Linked DNA regions of Schizosaccharomyces pombe. Changing the gene in region 2 together with the main gene of any one other region gives a genetic interaction. Each region holds a gene or a part of one and is shown on either strand. Other genes may lie near its edges. The genes, in order: spo20, sap18, omh6 and tbf1.

Region 1 (4,004 bases), on a different chromosome or scaffold from region 2:
TTTTAAAAGTCCTTGAGCTTTATCGATAGAATAGTCCTATATTCATACGTCTTAGTTAAATAAAATCCGTTTACAATTTCAAAAATTCACTTACAGCTTTTTCAAAGAGTATGTCTAATGTGTCCGATACTTCTGCCCATCTATTATCTATATCTTCAACGTCCACAATATCCTCCGCCCGACTTCTGTCTACTTTAGAAAGAAGCAATTCAATTAATCTCATAAAACGAGAAGAAACACTTTTTATGTTTTCATTGAATTCGGTATCAATTGATTTATAAAACGGTATATCAACCTTTGCCAATTCAGAGCAATAGGCTGTACTATTCATTAAACCCTTAAACAATTCTGACTCATCCATTATGCTATTGTTTACCCTACTGGATCAGTAAGGTTTTTGGTTTGGTTCAGGAATTTTCAAGCACTTTTACCACACGCTCAACGAATTACCGAACTTGAATATAGACATCGTTAAAGTACGAAATACAAGAGCTATTTTTATATATATAAAATATTTTACACAAATGCAAAATCTTAGCAGAATTATGTAAAAGCAATTATTTATGATTAGTTCAAAATTGTGAAACTATTAGCAGGCAACTATAGAGAGGTCTTTTATAATATAGGCATTCAATTTTGATCAAAAAGTAAAAAAATAATCAAAGTAGATGAATTACAAATTTAAAAACTTCGGATAATCTAGAATGGATGAAACAATCAAATCAGTTGGATCATCGAGCGTCCTTTTTTGGAAAATTAATGAACGATATATGTATTGAGACCTTCTATAAGGATTAAGAATTGTAACAGCAACCATCCCATGATGTTGATGATGGATCAACACATGACTTTCGAAATAAAATATTTATATATGCTTCGATCTATATACGATAATTTCGTCGAATAGTAAACCGTAAGTAGAAGGAAGTACCTGAGATGCTGAGTAAAAATAGAACGAAGACCTTTAAGAACTAAAACGCAGAACAAAGTTGAAAGATCGGCAAAAACTCTACACACTATTACTCTTATCAAAGGACAAACCACATTCATCTATTCTAGCAATTAAATCCCGTTCGGAGAAAGAAGTCTAATTTTTGTTCATCCACTGTTCTTCATGCCATGGACCGGCGTCAGATAGTTCGCAGCCACCTGGACATTGGCAGTTTCCACCGAGTTTAGCAGGAAGATTATCAGCAGGGATTTGTTCGAGCAGAGCACTCTTATAGTTTGAGCCTAAAATATGAATTTTTTTGACAGTTGCCTCATCCAAAAAACCTTTGATAAGATTAAAGGCAGAAGAGAATCCCCAAGGAGCGTTAATTACATAAAACTTGCCCATCCTTTCGGGGTAATAATCTTGACTCTTTAACGTGTTAATACTTGAAAAAAAAAAAAAAGAACAAAAATTTCAACATTTTCAACTTACAATGCTTGATGCTTGACGAATGTAGCTGTAAACCGAGTGAATACTAGTAATACCAACACCCTTTAGATCCATGATTGTGCACGAAGTTTCAATCAAGCCTCCTGCTTTACGAGAACAAGCGGGCTGAAGACGGTTAATAAAGATGAAAAGAAATATCAAAATGAAAAAATATATCACAAAAAATTCAACACAGTAGAAAACCAAAAGTTTTTCTATTAAAAAGCCGAAAAACCAGCCTTATATGGAATATGCAAATCCAAAGGAAAGGTTTGATTATGAGAATTACTGGAGATACATTTAATCATTTGAATTTACTTACAAACCGTTTTAAAGCAAGCATTTCATATTCATAAACCAAATTTTGCATCATACGCTCGGGAGTCGTGATTTGGTACAACTTCTTCAAATCAATGTTACCGAGTTGCTCAACGTATACCGGACGGCCGTCGATGTCAGTTTTATGATAAAATTGAGGGTAATATTTGGAAACGGCTTCTTTCTCATCATAATGAAAGTTTTTGATAAGATCATCAACACCAAATTCTTTTCTCCACTTTTCGCATTTAATAAACATTTCCAGCGACTGTTGCAAATTAAATTTACGGGCTCTCAAAAAACGCAACTAAGAATCCATTAGTACAAACACAAAGTTTCCTGCTGTACAACTTACTAAAGTGGCATCGTCTAATCTTTCCGTGTATCCAAGTTTTTGTAACTCTAAACGCATGCTATCTAGCGTAGCTTGCTGTGTAGAATTCAAATGCCCTGGGTGCCCTAATGGAGCATTTGGATTAGTTAGAGGATAAGGATCCGATATAGTTTCTGACATCTTTTTGTTTAGACGATGGTTGTAGAGAGAAGACCTAATGACCCAGTCTGTACAAGATGTATAAAGGAAAAGGAAGAACGTCAGCGACCTTAATACTAGTGGTCATCAGCCGTGGGGGATCAGTCAAGCGTGGGGGCCTTTTACCTACTACCGCAGGAACCTTTGTTGCCATGCTACACCCAACGCTATTGTTATATGTGAGTATGAGGATAAACTTCAGTGTTAAAAATCAGATGAGAGGAAGAAGCTCCTCGTATGAGGTTTAAATTGTGTATAACCAATTTTTCAACTTGCATGAAAAGTGCGACAAATTTGAGATGCAGAATGGCCTTCAACGAGGCGTTGAAGGTAAATAAAACATGGGGAAAAAGTGACAATTTAACTTTGTGGAAGCATTTTTTCTTTACCAAAAAAAACGAACGATAGATAATGTTTATTTTATTTAAGCCTTTGAGTGCGCTTGTGGTGATTTTCTGTCATCAATATTTATGCACCTGACAGCTTTGAAAGAGTAAACCAGGCACTAAGAAGCGTTATAGTACATAGAGTATAGAATATGTAAATGGATGATCATATTGCGATTTTGAGATTGTTGTCTATGTAAAAACGGTATAGGAGTATCGTAGCTGGATATTTATGTGAAGTAAAACAGTTCAATTTTATGATTGTTCAGTTTTCGTATTATAAATGAGGAGTAGAAAATTGTCATAGAGTTGTGATTAAAAAAGAACTTTAAATAAGCAAATATAGTAAAGGAAAAGAAATTTTATTGCAAATGGAAAAATATTTCGTGAATAAGCAATTTAACAAAAAATACATATTGAAACGTAAATAAAGTAATACTATACGACATAAAAAATAAAATAAAATAAAATCTAAAGAATGAATAAAATAAATAATAATTAGACTAACAGCCACTTAAATATATATACAAAATTTTTTTAAAAACTAGTTTTGTCTCGCAAACGTAATTATTGTTTCCTTCTCTTTCGATCGAACTTCAGCCATAATTTTGAAAGCGTTTCTTCCACGCAAAGTTTAACAAAACATACAAGAGTGAAAGGCATTGCTTGAATGGACAGTCCATTTTGTACTTGCATAAAATTTTCAAGTTAGTATCAAATTTTCTACATGTTAGCAATAATACATTTATTTACATTGATTTTACCTTTAAAGACCTATAACAATATAAATTTTTGATTATTATATTAACGTTACGGAAGGATAGTATAATCGTCAAAATATCGTTATAATTTAACAAACGAATAAATGCAGGAAACAATGCATTACGCAAGCTTGTTACTAAAGGCAGGAAGCATAGTTTGAATATAGGATGAAAACCGTGGATATCAATGTTATAAGCATTTAACATTGAATAAGTATGGTAGAGGTGAAAAGAATCAGTACTACGTTTCTTAATTGGCAACCTTGCACCTCAAACCCAGCTGAAGTGTACTTTGCACACGAGTCTATTACTACATGGTTTTTTTATACATATTAAATAATAGCAATGGTTATTTGAACTGCAATAACGGTAACCCTACCCCGATATCTCCAAGTTTGAAAATTTACTGCTTTTATGAAAATTTAGTTTACAGTTTGTTTTGGAAACGATTATGCTATCAGTGCAGAAGCTGAAAAAAAGAAAATTTCGGGATAGTAAAATTGTTTTCATGTCATTTCCCTGGCGGTGGTTTTGAAAAGCCCGAAGTTCCATTCATTTGAGTGGCAACTTAATTTTTCATCTAT
Region 2 (3,749 bases):
AGCTTTGTTTAGCTAAATAAAAAAGTTTCAATTATTTACTCTCCCTCCGGGATTCGAACCCGGGCTGCAAGCGTGACAGGCTTGTGTACTACCCCTATACTAAAGGAGATTATTGAAAACTTATTTTTTTTAGTTATACATATTGTAATACTCATATTAAATTTAAATGAAATTAAATAATTGAAGGAATATACTTTGGATTTAGTTATGAAACGAAGATATCAGCTTAAAGTTGTTGTAAAAATAATAAGTGATTTTGGGCTGTTAGCTTGTAGCACCGATTCAGAAAATAACAATTCAGCTTCTTACAGCTGTTGCAAACGGAGTAACCTTGATTCATGTTCATTTACTCTAGCAATGATAACATCGGGCTGTAATAAAACTTTATAAATATTTAAGTCTGTTACTTGCCTGAATTATAATTTAACTGTTTACAATCCGTTTTCTGTTTGTATGGGTTGCGAATGGTTTTTTAATTGTATTTAGGCAAAAAAAAAATACGAGTTTTATATTTTGAAAATAGTTAAGTAGCCAAAGGTGAGTTGACAGCATTTTTAAAGGAATAGATATTTACATTATGAGGATCAATGGTGCATTTATCATGCGAATATCAACCATGTTAATAATAGAAGTTATAATTCTTTTTTGAAAAATAGTTTCAATCGGATTTCCGAATGTTAGCGCTATTAAACAATGGAAAACATTAACCGCTTAATCCATCGCTTCAAAAAAAATGATAAAAGATTCTGCTATTTAAAGTGTTGAATCCTTTCCAATGTGAATTATAATAAAAAAAACGCTTTCTTTTCCTACAGCATATATATAAATTTAGCAGAAGTGATTCCTGAATCCTTGATAGGCCTCGAGCTAAAGTATATCTCCATAACTCAATAAGGAAAATAGTAAGTACACTAACAATTTTTTCTTAATGCGTCAAAGGTTTTTTTAAGAGTATGGGAAAAAAAAATTTCTCAACTTAAAGAGCTTCGAATCTTTTCAAAGCTTCAAAGCTTATAAACATACAATATGAGATTAGTGAACAGGGTTGTAGCGGTTTATGATTTTGTATATAAATAGAATTAAGATAAGCTTTTAAATAAATCTTACAATAGAATTCTTCAGTCATGCACTTCGTTTTTTATATCGTTCTCAAACCCATTAAACTTCCAAAAAATATATATGTACCATCCGATCAAGGAATCACTTTTTTATTCTAATTTTATCCTCTTTTATGGTAACATCAATTTTGTCTCCGCATTTTATTCCCGTTCTTTTCAATAATTTGTTGCCTTGAAATAGCTTTGGATTGTGCAAACAAACAGTACCTAGATCCCTGGCTATCGGGCGATCTTTATACTTATCGTAAAAAATTGTTCTAATTTGCAATGACCATTCAGAATGTCTTGTTTCTTCGTTATTCAAAAGAAGTTGATCTGCAATGAGAACTCCCAGTTCATAAAGGGTCATGGTCAACCTAAGATTAATCGTTAGCATAAAAGTTTAAGATTTGAAACATATAAATCTAATTGACATATAAATTGTTCATGGATGATCCTTTGACGGATTTTCTAATCGTAGTCCCAATGAAGTATGAGTTCATATACAACAACTGAAATTTTCCCGTTAACACGATTTACTTACCATCCATAAACTTGAATAGAAGGAATCACGTCTTCAAAGATGTCTAAAACATGATTTTTTGTTTGGAACTGATGATATACTGAAATGAGAAAAGGGCACGGACCAACAGCATCTTCACTTTGGCTTAATTCAGGAGATTGAGAGCGACTTTCACGAATATCCATTTCTAAACCTCCCAAATGGATTTTTTAAAGGAAGAAATTGAACGTAAACGTCGCCAACTAGAAGGAACGAGCGAACTTCCGGTAAAAAAGGCGTTTCGACGAGGGGATTGGGAGAAGGAAAGGGAAAAGAAATATCTGCAGGAAAAACAACAAAAGGATGAGCAAAGAGAGTTGAAAAAAAGAAAGTTGGAAGAAGAACGTCTTAAATATGAAGAAAAGAAGTTACGCATTTCACGACTTGCGAACAAAGAGAGCAGTAGAAATGAAGAGTTGCTTACAGAAACAACAACTCCCTCACCAGCTGTCAAAGCGTCACCTGCAAGTACAAAATTATCTGTCTCCGAAAACGACCGTTTATCAATACCTGAAATCACAAAAGACAACCTCACGTTGACCGAAATTATTGCAAAGCTTCGTGAGATGAAAGAGCCAATTCGTTTGTTTGGAGAGTCAGAAGAGGCTACCATTCAACGATATTACAGTTTGCTAAAATACAAAAAACTGGAAGAAATTGAAAATGAACTCCTTACTAAAGGAGTTGAAACAATCGACTTTGAGCATGCTACTACCACCAAACCCAAAGTATCCAAGCAAGTAGTTGCTTTTCTTCAACATGGAATCCGCATTTGGGACAACTTTTTGTCTTCAAAATCCATCAACTCTTTCGAAAGTTCTGAGAGTCAGATGCAATTAAAAATATTTCGTCAAGCTAAGCAAGATCTTGATGTACTTATACAACTGATAGTCGATGAAGCTTTAAACGACGATATTTTTAAAAGCATAGCTGAAATTTGTTACAGATGCCAAAAACACGAATTTGTCAAAGCCAATGATATGTATTTACGTCTGACAATTGGAAATGCACCTTGGCCTATTGGAGTTACTATGGTTGGTATTCATGAAAGAAGTGCACATCAACGATTACAAGCAAATCCAAGTTCAAATATACTTAAAGACGAAAAGAAGAGAAAGGTAAGATTTTAGATAAAGTACCCAGTCTAACCTTTCACATGTTAGTGTTTGCAAGCTTTAAAGCGATTTATTACTTTTCAGGAAAGAGAGTCATCAAACTTACCTGAATATACGGATTGAAGTACGAAAAAGATGCTATTTGTTGTCGAAAAAGAATTTAATTATACAGTTCACACTAAACTTTTGAAAACGACTATGTCAAACATGGTTTACTAATGATAGAATATTCAAAAATTTCGCCTCTGAATTGGCATGAAAGAAACTACAATGAAACAGCTTCTGATATAACGAGAGGCGAAACATTTATAAAAGACAGAAAAATATTAAGTATGCCACCAGAACTCAGTCTTAAAAAAGCAGAATGTGCTGTGCAAATGAACTCATCTTTAATGAAACTCTACATCCATACTCATTATTAGGAAAAAATTTTTTGTTAAAAGATGACGAGAAAAAAAATTTACTAATATCCATGAGCGTTTGCTAATAGTCGAAAGCACCTATATTCCTAATATTTCAGTTTTAAACAATAAGTTTACTCCAAATCCAAATCATATTCTGGTTCAATTGACTTTTGTTTTCGCTGGCTTGAAGATGCTTGGGGAGTTGGCATAGGAGGAGCAGGGCCTCCCATACCAGCAAGTGCAGCCATTGGATTCATACCTCCAGCTAATCCAGGTTGCTTTTGCATTTCCTGCATCATTTCCTGGAACATATTTTCAGAGATACCACCGCCAGATAAAGCAGGTGAATGAAGAGGTAAAATCGTATTTCCTAAAACCCCCTTAGGATATGCAGGAGGATTTTCAGGAAGACGTGCGGGAACATTTTGAATAGGTAACGATAAAGGATCTGTCTTAACAGTTGGGCGAAGAAGTAGTACTTTGGCGATTTCGTTTATGACATACTTTTCTACATTCACAGTCAGTTAGCATACGAGAAAATAAAACTAATAACAATCTTACTTTGTATTTT
Region 3 (4,701 bases), on a different chromosome or scaffold from region 2:
TTTCGCCAAGGAAGACTCAACATTCTCAATTCTCTCCTCGATTTTCTGAATATTGCTTCGAAGCTTTTTATCCTTGATTTTCTTTGGATTCAGCTTGCGCCCTCTAGAATATTTTTTTGTAGAAGCATTAACATCCTCCAAATTCAACTTTTGAGCAGACATAATGCTAACTAAGTAAAGATATTAGTGAGGAAAAAAGATTTTTTTTTCTTTTTAGGCCTGATTATACAAAAAAAATGAAGCAGTTTTCTAATAAACAATTCTTTCCAAAATTTAGGTATCTCCCTTAGTCAAAAAGTTAGAAACCCTTCAATTTTTACACAAATGTATTATGTAAACGAAGTGATAGTTAAAAAATTCAAACACTACGTTCGACTTCGATTCTATGACCCAACAGTAGGTTTAGGTTGAGGGCAGGTGGAATGTAGTTCTAGGAATAGGATTTGTGCGTTCTTATTGTAAAAAATCAGAAACTACTACTAACACAATTAGATACAAACCACAATTATTTACAAATAATACAAGTATAATAAAATAAAATTTCATAAAAATTAAGTATGCAAAATAAAAACAAGAAAATTTTAAAAGTAAACCCGAAACCCAGTAAAAACATTATAAGTTCAGACAATGGCCAATGCCAAAACTGCGAAATGAACCATGAAACGAAAATAGCTCAGGAATTAATTCTCCTGCTTTTTGGTCATGGAAAGAAGCTGGATCGAATTGGATATATCGCTCATCTTCGAACCGCTATTATGAGCACTTCTTAGTACGCTCTGCGTAGTGTTGTAATCATCAATACTCTGTAAAAGGACGTTTTGTTGGTATTTGTTGTTTTTAGAGGAGTTTTTGTTTTGTTTTGAGGATTTCTTAACTCCTTTTGAAGTCTGTTTAGGCTTTTTTGACTGCTTGTTCCTTTTCTGTGCCATTTGGTTGAAGTTAAAAGTTTTATCACGGAGGCGATAATTCATTTTTTCAACAAAATTTTCCTTCTCAAAAGTAAAGATATATTTATTATAAACAAATACACATGCAACATAATACATTTCTCCCTAACGATGCTGTAGAAGAGCAAAAGCAAAATCCATACTATGGAATACTGAGAGCAGTGGAAACCGACTTAAGGCTCGGTCAACGTTGGTGTGAATTAAAGGTACATGTTCTTGATATTGACTTAAAAACAAAAAGGCCTTTACTCTCAGGGATTCCCGTAAATGGACAGCTCAAAGACAAATTGCAATATGTTCTGCCGCTTTACCTCCAAGAGACAATTTCGATCGAGTTTCTGTCCTCTGTTTTCGATTCTATGAAGAAACTGAGCCTTCCACTTGTAAAGGATGCTCGAGGTCTTTCTGGAGATGAGTTTTTCCTATACCTGGGAATCATGTGTTCTGACTCAACGATAGTATATTACAAGATCACCGATGGACTTATAAAACCAAGGCAAAATGATGAAGAATAAACACATGATATATACATATTTATTGATTAGGATTGAAAAACGGAAAGACAACGCTATAATTTTACCACTACCAGATTAATTTTTCACTTCAAGTGTCTCAACGTTTGTAAATGAAAATGCACATATTACAATAACTTTCATAAAACAAATTCGTATGAACAAAAATTTTCTGTAAAGCTCATTCATCAATTAATATCACAAACATGCACATCTTCCTGTGTATGGAATAGTTTCTGGGCAATAATGAACATCATCGTTTAAGAAAAATCCCACTGATTCCATATGATTAGCACGCGCTCTTAAAACACCAAATGCTGCTGAAAGGATATCAGACTCGGCTAAATAAATGTCAGCAAAAAGTACAACGTGAAGCATTTATATTAGAAACAGGTTAAATAAAGTCATTTCCAAAATTGAAGAAGCAATTTACTTACTCCAGCGATGATAATATGTTCCTCCTGAACCAAGCAAGTAATTAATTAGGTTGGTGTAGGTCTGATTATGCCGAATTTGCTTTAGAGATAAAATTTCATTAAAAGGCCAGTATTTACAATAGGTGTAGTTGTTACTATAAACCCAGATATTGCTGAAATCTCCTTGAGTGTTTAAAATTTTGTATTCTTCAATTGCCTCTTCCATAGCATATATACCAGAGTGTTTACGTTCACAGACGTGGTTTGTAAATACAATGTCGCTGTCTTTGAAAGTAGAAAATATATCTCTGAACAAAAATATTAGTTAGGTTTCCTGAAAAAGAAGAACGAAATAAACAAGTTTTACCGAGTTTCTTACTTTTTTTCTTCACAAACCAATTTGAGCCCGGGTTCTATTCTCCAAACATAATCGTATTCCAATTGAGGATGATATAATAAAGATCGAACTACCCAATCTTGAAAACTGTGAAACAAAGGAGAGTATACGTAAGATAGATTCTCTTGAGCAAGTGCATCTGCTCGTTGTTGATAAAGTCGATTGTTTTCAACTAGGGGTTTTACTTGAGAAAGATCCCAATGCACTAAGTAAGAGATAGTTAGAATAAATTGTAAATGATTGGTATAAGTTATTCCCTTCGTACCGTATTCACAATGACCAGACGCAATCGTGCTTGTCGTACTCATAAAGTATTCCGTAAACTCATCCATGCCGTAAAACGTCCAAGGATAATGAAACCTCTTATTAAATCTATCCTCTACGCTACGCATCGTGCGCAACACTTCCCCAAGTTCAGCATTACTAGAAAACAGAATTAGAAAGTACATCTCAAATGGCACCGTACGCGGTAAACATCAGAAAAGAAGCACTCAAATTGGAGCTTTGAGGTTCATTAAGAATCACATATACATTGTTGGGTTCATTTACAGAGAATCCATTCAACCAGGTAAATACAATTGGTAGTATGGAAAGTAAAAGTTCGTAAAACATAATGAAGCTTAAACACGAGCAGAACTTTCCCTGTTATGAGAAGTAACTAGTTCAACTAACGTATGACTCCAAAAGTAACGCATAGAAAGTGGATTTGAAGGAATTTAACTGAAATTGCCTAAGACAATGGTTAAGGGCAAATGTTAATACCCTGCTAGAGATTTGACCTTAGAAAAGAGAGCTCTTTGAGTATAAATATTTATTTTTAGCAAATCAATTTTTGTATACAATGTTTGATGGGTAGATCACTGAAAGAATCTGCTAACGAGCATAATCTTATAAATGACATTTGCATAAGCGTACTGATAGTCGCTATGTCGAGCTGTTATTACTGTTGGAATATTTAAGTTCTATCAAAGGAATTATAAAATTTGCATTCGTCTTTTATAATGGTTTTTAATGTCTATTAAACAATTCATTGTTGCTGATGAATGTAAACAAAAGCAATAAGTTTAAGTATAGGAAAGCTTCAGCTGTTCTAGAATACAAACTCAGTAAAATGTTATAAAATAATATTTCATAAACCCAAGTGGCATATGTATCTTAAGACATTTTCCCAATATCTGCAAACTAATTCACTACTTTCGATCAAATTATATACTGTGGTTGTTCATAATGCACAATCTTATTTTAACGAGCCTTTTTTTTTGCTTTCTGGAAACACCAAAATTCCTAGACTACTAAGGGTAAAACAGTCACTAGGGTTAGGGTTGTAATTTTCAACAAACTATATAAAGTCTCGTTTGCACTTCGTTATAACCTATCATGAATCTGAAGTTACATTGTTCAGATTCTTTCGAGAATCTTGCGTGTAACATGGTTGGCGTGTAGAGGTTGACAAGAGTACAGACAGGGCGGCGATTGTCCTTGCAGTTTCGACTGCAGGTTGAGAGTTGGCGTCTTGCCATGAAAATTGACTAAAGGATGCTGCGTAGCCTAGCCAACAGATTCTAAAACGATTGGAGTGATCCTGATCCTTCTCCTTTGGAGAGGAATTGGTTGATCCTCTGACAACTGTATATTCCTAAATCTTTCGCTACATGATCTCTGGATCCTTGCAGTTGGGTAAAACCATACAGTTGACATTTTTCATTTGGGTAGTTCTTCTTTTATGATAGTTTAATCATGTGTATGAATACGATTAATTATTTTATTACAATTTTACTTTGTCATTTAAAACTGAATTTTTTAAACTTCCAATTCGCTGTTAATGAACAAATAAAAATGGGCGTTGTGATGTTTTGATGAGAAACAGGCTGACCTGTCGATGTAGTTTTCGTTTGTACAGCTTGACCGTTTGAGGTAGGTTGCCAGTATGGTATTTTGTATACTTAAACTGAATTTTTAATGATAATATTCTCGTCATATTTTGAGGTACTTTGTTTTCGTGTATAAGTCCTTGTCAAATTAAATGGACTACAAAGTTTTTAACAATCAGTTTTGTGGGCTGTTTGTAGCAACATCACAAGTGTATTAGCAATAAATGATTTAGAAATGCTACCCTAAGAGAGTATATAAAAAAAACCTTTCGCTCCTTTTCATCGTTTACTAGGTCGTTGAATTGTCAACATTTCAGTCTGATTTGGCAATTACAAGCGAATGATAAAAACCAAAAACTGGTTGCTTGTTCAGCAGTTGTCGACGCCGACGGGAAAGCCTGCTAGCTGAAATAATTGTCAGGATGCTCAATATTAGTAAAGCAATGAGCAAATTAAAAACTATAAGTTTGTATCTATTCCTGTAATTGGGGCTACCGTTTGGACATAGGCCCGGTGCACGCAGTTTTTGAAGACGAGATGAGTTAGGGTGCTCTAATA
Region 4 (4,989 bases), on a different chromosome or scaffold from region 2:
GTAACATGTAGAGATAAAGGAAATTATTTGGAAGACGATGAATCATTCCAGATCAATTGATCAAATGCCTCCTGTTCGTGAGAAATAGGTTCATCCAACTGTTCAGAGCCTAGATTAGAAGTTCGGGAAGGAAATGCTTCAGAATTTTCTTGTCCACTAAAAGCACTATCTGTGGATTTAACACTCGAGTCTTCTTCGTAAAATGGAAAAGAATTGTTACCGGTATTTCGATTACGGTTACGAATAGCTTCCCATGCTGACGCTGGCTTTGATCGATCTTCAAAGCCATTGTCTTTAGAGTACATGGCGTCCTCTTTCTCCGTACTCTGTGAATTCGTAAAGGGATCTTGACTAGAAGAGGCACCAGTATTCGGCATACTTCCAGGTAATTGATATTTTGAGTTTTTTGGAGGGAATTCAGAAGATGAAGAAGGAAATCTGCCTTGTCGCATCGTTGTTCTTTGTCGAATAAGGGAGTCTTGTATTTTGCGAAGTATTTCAAAGCCATCATCTCTTTGACGTATAGCCGACAAATTGTATGCCAGAGTAGTAATCTGAGCAACCTATTCATAATTTGTAAGCTTGAGCTTAGTATTACTTAAAACTTACCCCATTTCCAGCAAGACCTCCTATAATTGATGTTGCATACAAGCGGATTGGAGTAACCTTTTTGTTACGAGCTAAAAAATAAGAAAGTTATTTTCAATTGCTTGTTCGAAATCTCATACCTAAGTATAATGGGAGAGAAAACCCGACTAGCATCCCAAAAATCGTATTTCTTTTGACACGGTATTTTGCATGATTTAGAAATTCCTTTTGGTCATCACTGAAATGGTTTTGAGGATCATTTAACATTCGTTCCCAAAAAAAATCCATGATAATAAACGTTGGAAGCGATTCCTGAGGCTACACAATAATGTCAAGAATATGAAACGTGCTTATACGGGTTATGTTAGCGAAATAAATGTAATTAAATTATTTGCGGACTGTACAATTTAACCCAATATATAAAAATTTGAGGCCTTTCTAATGTAAAAATACTACTACTAAAAGGTAATAGTACTCATCACTTGTTGCCTTATGGATAGTTTGGATACTGATGTAAGAGGATGTGAATAAGGAGAATCTCTAGGGATTAGGACCATCTAAATTTCCCAGCTACTACAGTGATACTTGGCATGAATAAGAAATACGTATCTGAATAAAAATTTGACACACAAGATTGTTCTGTTGAAATTTCTTATGAAACTGATAGACTGAATTTTTTTTGGCTGGTAAGCACTTGTGATGAAATATGCAACTTTTTCGAACTACGTTTTACATTCCATCTTTCAATGAAACAGACCTTGGTGGCATCAATTCGTGGTATACGATTGTTTTGAATTTTAATATTGCAAGCATATATGTTCAACAGGAATTTCCCAGTTGTTAAATAAGTCTATATCGTATAATTCTTTGTCATTAACCGTATTTATTCATTTTGAACTAATTTAGCACAGAATTCTATCTCGTAAATTAAACAAGCGCCACTGCATTTTACACAGCTAACGAAAAATACAAGAAGGCAATTGAGAAATAGAGAAATAGATGCAATACAGACTTGGTCTTTTTTTTTAAAAAGTTTTGCCAATTTAGACGGATTTTGTATCTAATATGTAGGAACTACTAGTAGTAGTTACAGCTTATTCATTAGTTAATAATGTCCAGATATCGCTTCTACAAAGGAATGAAATGTTGATAAAATTAGTAAAGAAATACAACGATATAATGGTATTTAACACATCTGGCTTATTGGAATTCGTTAATAAAAATAACGAACGCCAATGAAGTGAAATATGCAAGAGATTTTTTATTACGAGTCAATTAAATATACGCTGTCCTAATCAATTGACACACAAATACCTGAAAACTCGCATTTGGTTGTTACTTTGCCTGCATTGGAAGGATATATTTTAAAAAACCTTGTAGTAAAGAAGAATTGGAACTTTTGATGCAAGATTTACTATTCGGTAGTCACTGGATATCGTTGCTCCTTGGATTTGTTTAGCAATCGATTAATCAGACTGCTTCTCACCTATAGTTTGTATTTTCTTTGATCAATTGAAAAACTACGATTTCCAAGAAAATGTCAAAACGATCCTTAGACCCTAGTGATGATTTTAAGGGTCAAAAACGCTTAGCGATTGATCCAGAATCAACTGCCCTCGAACAAGATCGCCAAATGTTACAACAATTATCAGAACAAAATTCTGAACTCGAGCCTCAAAATGTTGCACCAAATGCAGAAATTCCTTTAGGGTTTGATCTTTCCGGAATTCAATTTAATATGACGCCGGACTTTTATTTACGCATGAATCAAGGCATGGATTACGCTTTCAACCAACCTAATCCTATTGCTACACCTCAGCAACTTCTTCGTACATCTCTTATTCCTACTCTTGGTAACCTTAGTAACATAATTTTGTCAATTCTTGGGAAGCCAGTACAAGAGGCATCTGCCATTGTCACTAATCCAGCCTCCGAAATGGGTATGGCCTTTACCAAAGTAATGAATATGTTTCGTATGGTAAAGGACATTTATACTGAAGAATCTTTTATTTATTCCTCTGCCATTGGTATGAGGACGCCGAGTCAAAGAAGTACGACTAGACGCGCAAATCTTGCTATCTTTCTGGCAGCTGTCTATGGAGCGCTACAAATTGGATTTTTTCATTTGAATGAAAATTTTCTGGAGGTTTTTGCTCCGGACGAATCTAATATCCTCACTAATCAGGGCACTCTTTATATGGAACTCAAAACCCAAGCATATATTTCGGCTATGGCTCAGGCAGAACGTCCCAAGGGAGACATATTAAACGATCTTTTTCCCTCTGACATGGCCCATCGATTTCTTATCCGACGAAATGCTAAGCTGGATGACAAACTTACTTATGTTGAAAAGCAAATCATAGAGAAATGTACGGCTAGAAAAGAAAGATTGGCAAACTTCTCCCCACAGGAAGCTTTAAATGAAGTATATCCATGGGGGAAATTTTTAAGCGAGATTGCTTGTTACATCCATAACAATTACTCGTCTATTTCGGCCATTCCAATTCCTGCTAACTCATTCAAACGACGATCCAAGAAGAACGGATTGAGGTTTAAGGCTGGCGAAGCCGAATCATCCCCTTCAGAATCTGGTTCAGACCTGACCGATAGTCTCGCATTTGGTATACCATCTTCAACTTTTGACGGCTCCTCGGAAACACAAAATGTATCCAGTGTCGTTCTTTATGATCAGGTTCGACATATGACAAATAATAACCTAAATAACAAGCGTACGAGGCGCGTAGCCAATCGTCGATCTTGGACAAAAGAGGAAGAGGAAGCATTGCTTGATGGTCTTGATTTAGTAAAAGGTCCCCGGTGGAGCCAAATTTTGGAGCTTTATGGTCCTGGAGGCAAAAAGAGTGAAGTTTTGAAATATCGCAATCAAGTTCAGTTGAAAGATAAGGCTCGCAATATGAAACTATTTTTTCTCAAAAGTGGTCAGGTGGTCCCCGCAGCATTACAATGTGTTACAGGCGATCTTCGGCGAGATTAAGTAGTATCAGGAGTTTATTTCATTCTTGATTAAGTTTGCGATTTTTTTTTAAATACTAAAACGATTAAGCGTGAGGCATTTTATGTATAAATTATAATTATTATTAATCTATGGGTTTTTTGGTGCTAATACTCGGAGGCTATTCATTACAATTGAACATTCCCGTGTATCTTTATTTACAATTTCGGAGGATGACCTGGCAATAGCTTGTTCCACAATATGCGTAACTCGCTGAAAATCGCTTCGGAATACCCGCAAGAGTATTGGATCACGGCGATCAAGCATTTGCATTTTGCTGCTGATAGAAATTGCCAGCTCTTTGAAAAAATAGATACAAATAGTTGCACCATCAAGGATAAAATTTGGTTGCATTTGAAAATATTCTAATAAATTTGGGTAGTCTGGATTACAAATATTAGCCTTTTGAAGTGACCTTTCCCAAAAGACGCATTGTGCACCAATCTTTGAAATTTGGTACCACCCGTCTTCAAATTTGGACCATATAGTAGAATTTGCCGCTGAAGGATCTGTACTGTTATGTAGGAGTCTTCGTGTAGTGGGGGACAGTTGGAAAATCGAGTCGAATTGTATAATGGCCTTCTGTATACGAGAACTTAAAAGACGAGTTAAGTCCTGTTCTAACAAATATTTGTCTAACATATATAAAACAGAGCAAGCATTTGTAAAACCATTAGAGTTCACACTGAAAGAAAGTTGATCTTCTTGTGATAATAGATAGCTGGATGTTTCTTTTATAATTCTCGATCGATTGGTTATATTAAGTTTTAAGAGTAAAGAAACGGACGATTGTCTTTTCTACAATAATTAGCCAAGAAACAGAAAATATATTTCATACCATTAATGGAAACCGGCTTAATAATTGATCAGACTCTTGTAATAGTAAAGATGCTTGATAATAGCGTGAAAGTCTTGAATTTGTTAGCATACCAAAATCATTGAGCAAAACAATAAGCATACTTTTCATTTTCATTAATCGATCCCTGGAAAAGGGGAAATAACTTTGCTTGTATGCCAAAAAACTCCCCAAGCCAATACAAAGTCATGTATGTTGAATGCAAATTTACAATTGCCTCATGAAGGGGACCCAAATTTTCAGATGGAATGACTACCAGCGAACGAATTCTTTCATAAACCAACATCAATTGTTCTAGTTTTCCCTCGATATCTTGCAAATATGACTGAGCATTCAAAGAACTAGATACATTTTTCGTCAACGTGGTTTCCTCATGCACAATCAAATCGGTAATTTGCCGCTCTACTTCTTTGAGTGCATACCCCAACCTCTTTCTGGCGACTTCTTTGTCTTCGTTAACATCGGAGTCAGCATGAACAGAGATTAACACTCGTTCAGCCTGCGCCTTTGGATCGAAATCTGATTTTTTGTA

The links.
Region 1: mutations in sap18 (region 2) and spo20 together harm fitness more than expected from each alone (negative genetic interaction), as found in Schizosaccharomyces pombe (one large-scale study listed by BioGRID).
Region 3: mutations in sap18 (region 2) and omh6 together harm fitness more than expected from each alone (negative genetic interaction), as found in Schizosaccharomyces pombe (one large-scale study listed by BioGRID).
Region 4: mutations in sap18 (region 2) and tbf1 together harm fitness less than expected from each alone (positive genetic interaction), as found in Schizosaccharomyces pombe (one large-scale study listed by BioGRID).

Annotation. Positions count from the first base shown.
Region 1 is NC_003424.3:607,243-611,246, reverse strand, and holds spo20 (sec14 cytosolic factor family, phospholipid-intermembrane transfer protein Spo20/Sec14), read right to left. Parts: upstream 2,279-4,004; 5' UTR 2,256-2,278; coding exon 2,097-2,255; intron 2,049-2,096; coding exon 1,746-2,048; intron 1,719-1,745; exon of another isoform or gene 1,550-1,718; coding exon 1,427-1,549; exon of another isoform or gene 1,405-1,426; intron 1,364-1,404; coding exon 1,088-1,363; 3' UTR 544-1,087; downstream 1-543. Other genes in the region: exosome 3'-5' exoribonuclease subunit Rrp6, read right to left, coding at 1-36, 95-361. UniProt on the Schizosaccharomyces pombe protein: Required for transport of secretory proteins from the Golgi complex. Catalyzes the transfer of phosphatidylinositol and phosphatidylcholine between membranes in vitro. Essential for viability and secretion.
Region 2 is NC_003421.2:2,139,370-2,143,118, forward strand, and holds sap18 (SAP128 family histone deacetylase complex subunit), read right to left. Parts: upstream 1,821-3,749; 5' UTR 1,806-1,820; coding exon 1,642-1,805; intron 1,475-1,641; coding exon 1,201-1,474; 3' UTR 514-1,200; downstream 1-513. Other genes in the region: U5 snRNP-associated protein Prp18, read left to right, coding at 1,821-2,777, 2,823-2,897; putative signal recognition particle subunit Sec65, read right to left, coding at 3,310-3,686, 3,740-3,749.
Region 3 is NC_003424.3:3,391,229-3,395,929, forward strand, and holds omh6 (alpha-1,2-mannosyltransferase Omh6), read right to left. Parts: upstream 3,017-4,701; 5' UTR 2,722-3,016; coding exon 2,255-2,721; exon of another isoform or gene 2,184-2,254; coding exon 1,897-2,183; intron 1,879-1,896; exon of another isoform or gene 1,801-1,878; coding exon 1,658-1,800; 3' UTR 1,463-1,657; coding exon of another isoform or gene 681-1,462; 3' UTR 522-680; downstream 1-521. Other genes in the region: U3 snoRNP-associated protein Utp7, read right to left, coding at 1-162; SPOM_SPAC959.11 (uncharacterized protein), read right to left, coding at 681-1,046; tRNA-splicing endonuclease subunit Sen15, read left to right, coding at 1,031-1,462; pdi4 (protein disulfide isomerase), read right to left, coding at 4,457-4,701. UniProt on the Schizosaccharomyces pombe protein: Probable mannosyltransferase involved in O-glycosylation of cell wall and secreted proteins.
Region 4 is NC_003423.3:2,372,049-2,377,037, forward strand, and holds tbf1 (DNA-binding factor Trf1), read left to right. Parts: upstream 1-1,876; 5' UTR 1,877-2,125; coding exon 2,126-3,583; 3' UTR 3,584-3,691; coding exon of another isoform or gene 3,692-4,399; 3' UTR 4,400-4,439; downstream 4,440-4,989. Other genes in the region: SPOM_SPBC19G7.18C (uncharacterized protein), read right to left, coding at 24-563, 610-680, 729-876; COG complex subunit Cog5, read right to left, coding at 3,692-4,399, 4,440-4,512, 4,562-4,989. UniProt on the Schizosaccharomyces pombe protein: Binds the telomeric double-stranded TTACAGG repeat and regulates telomere length.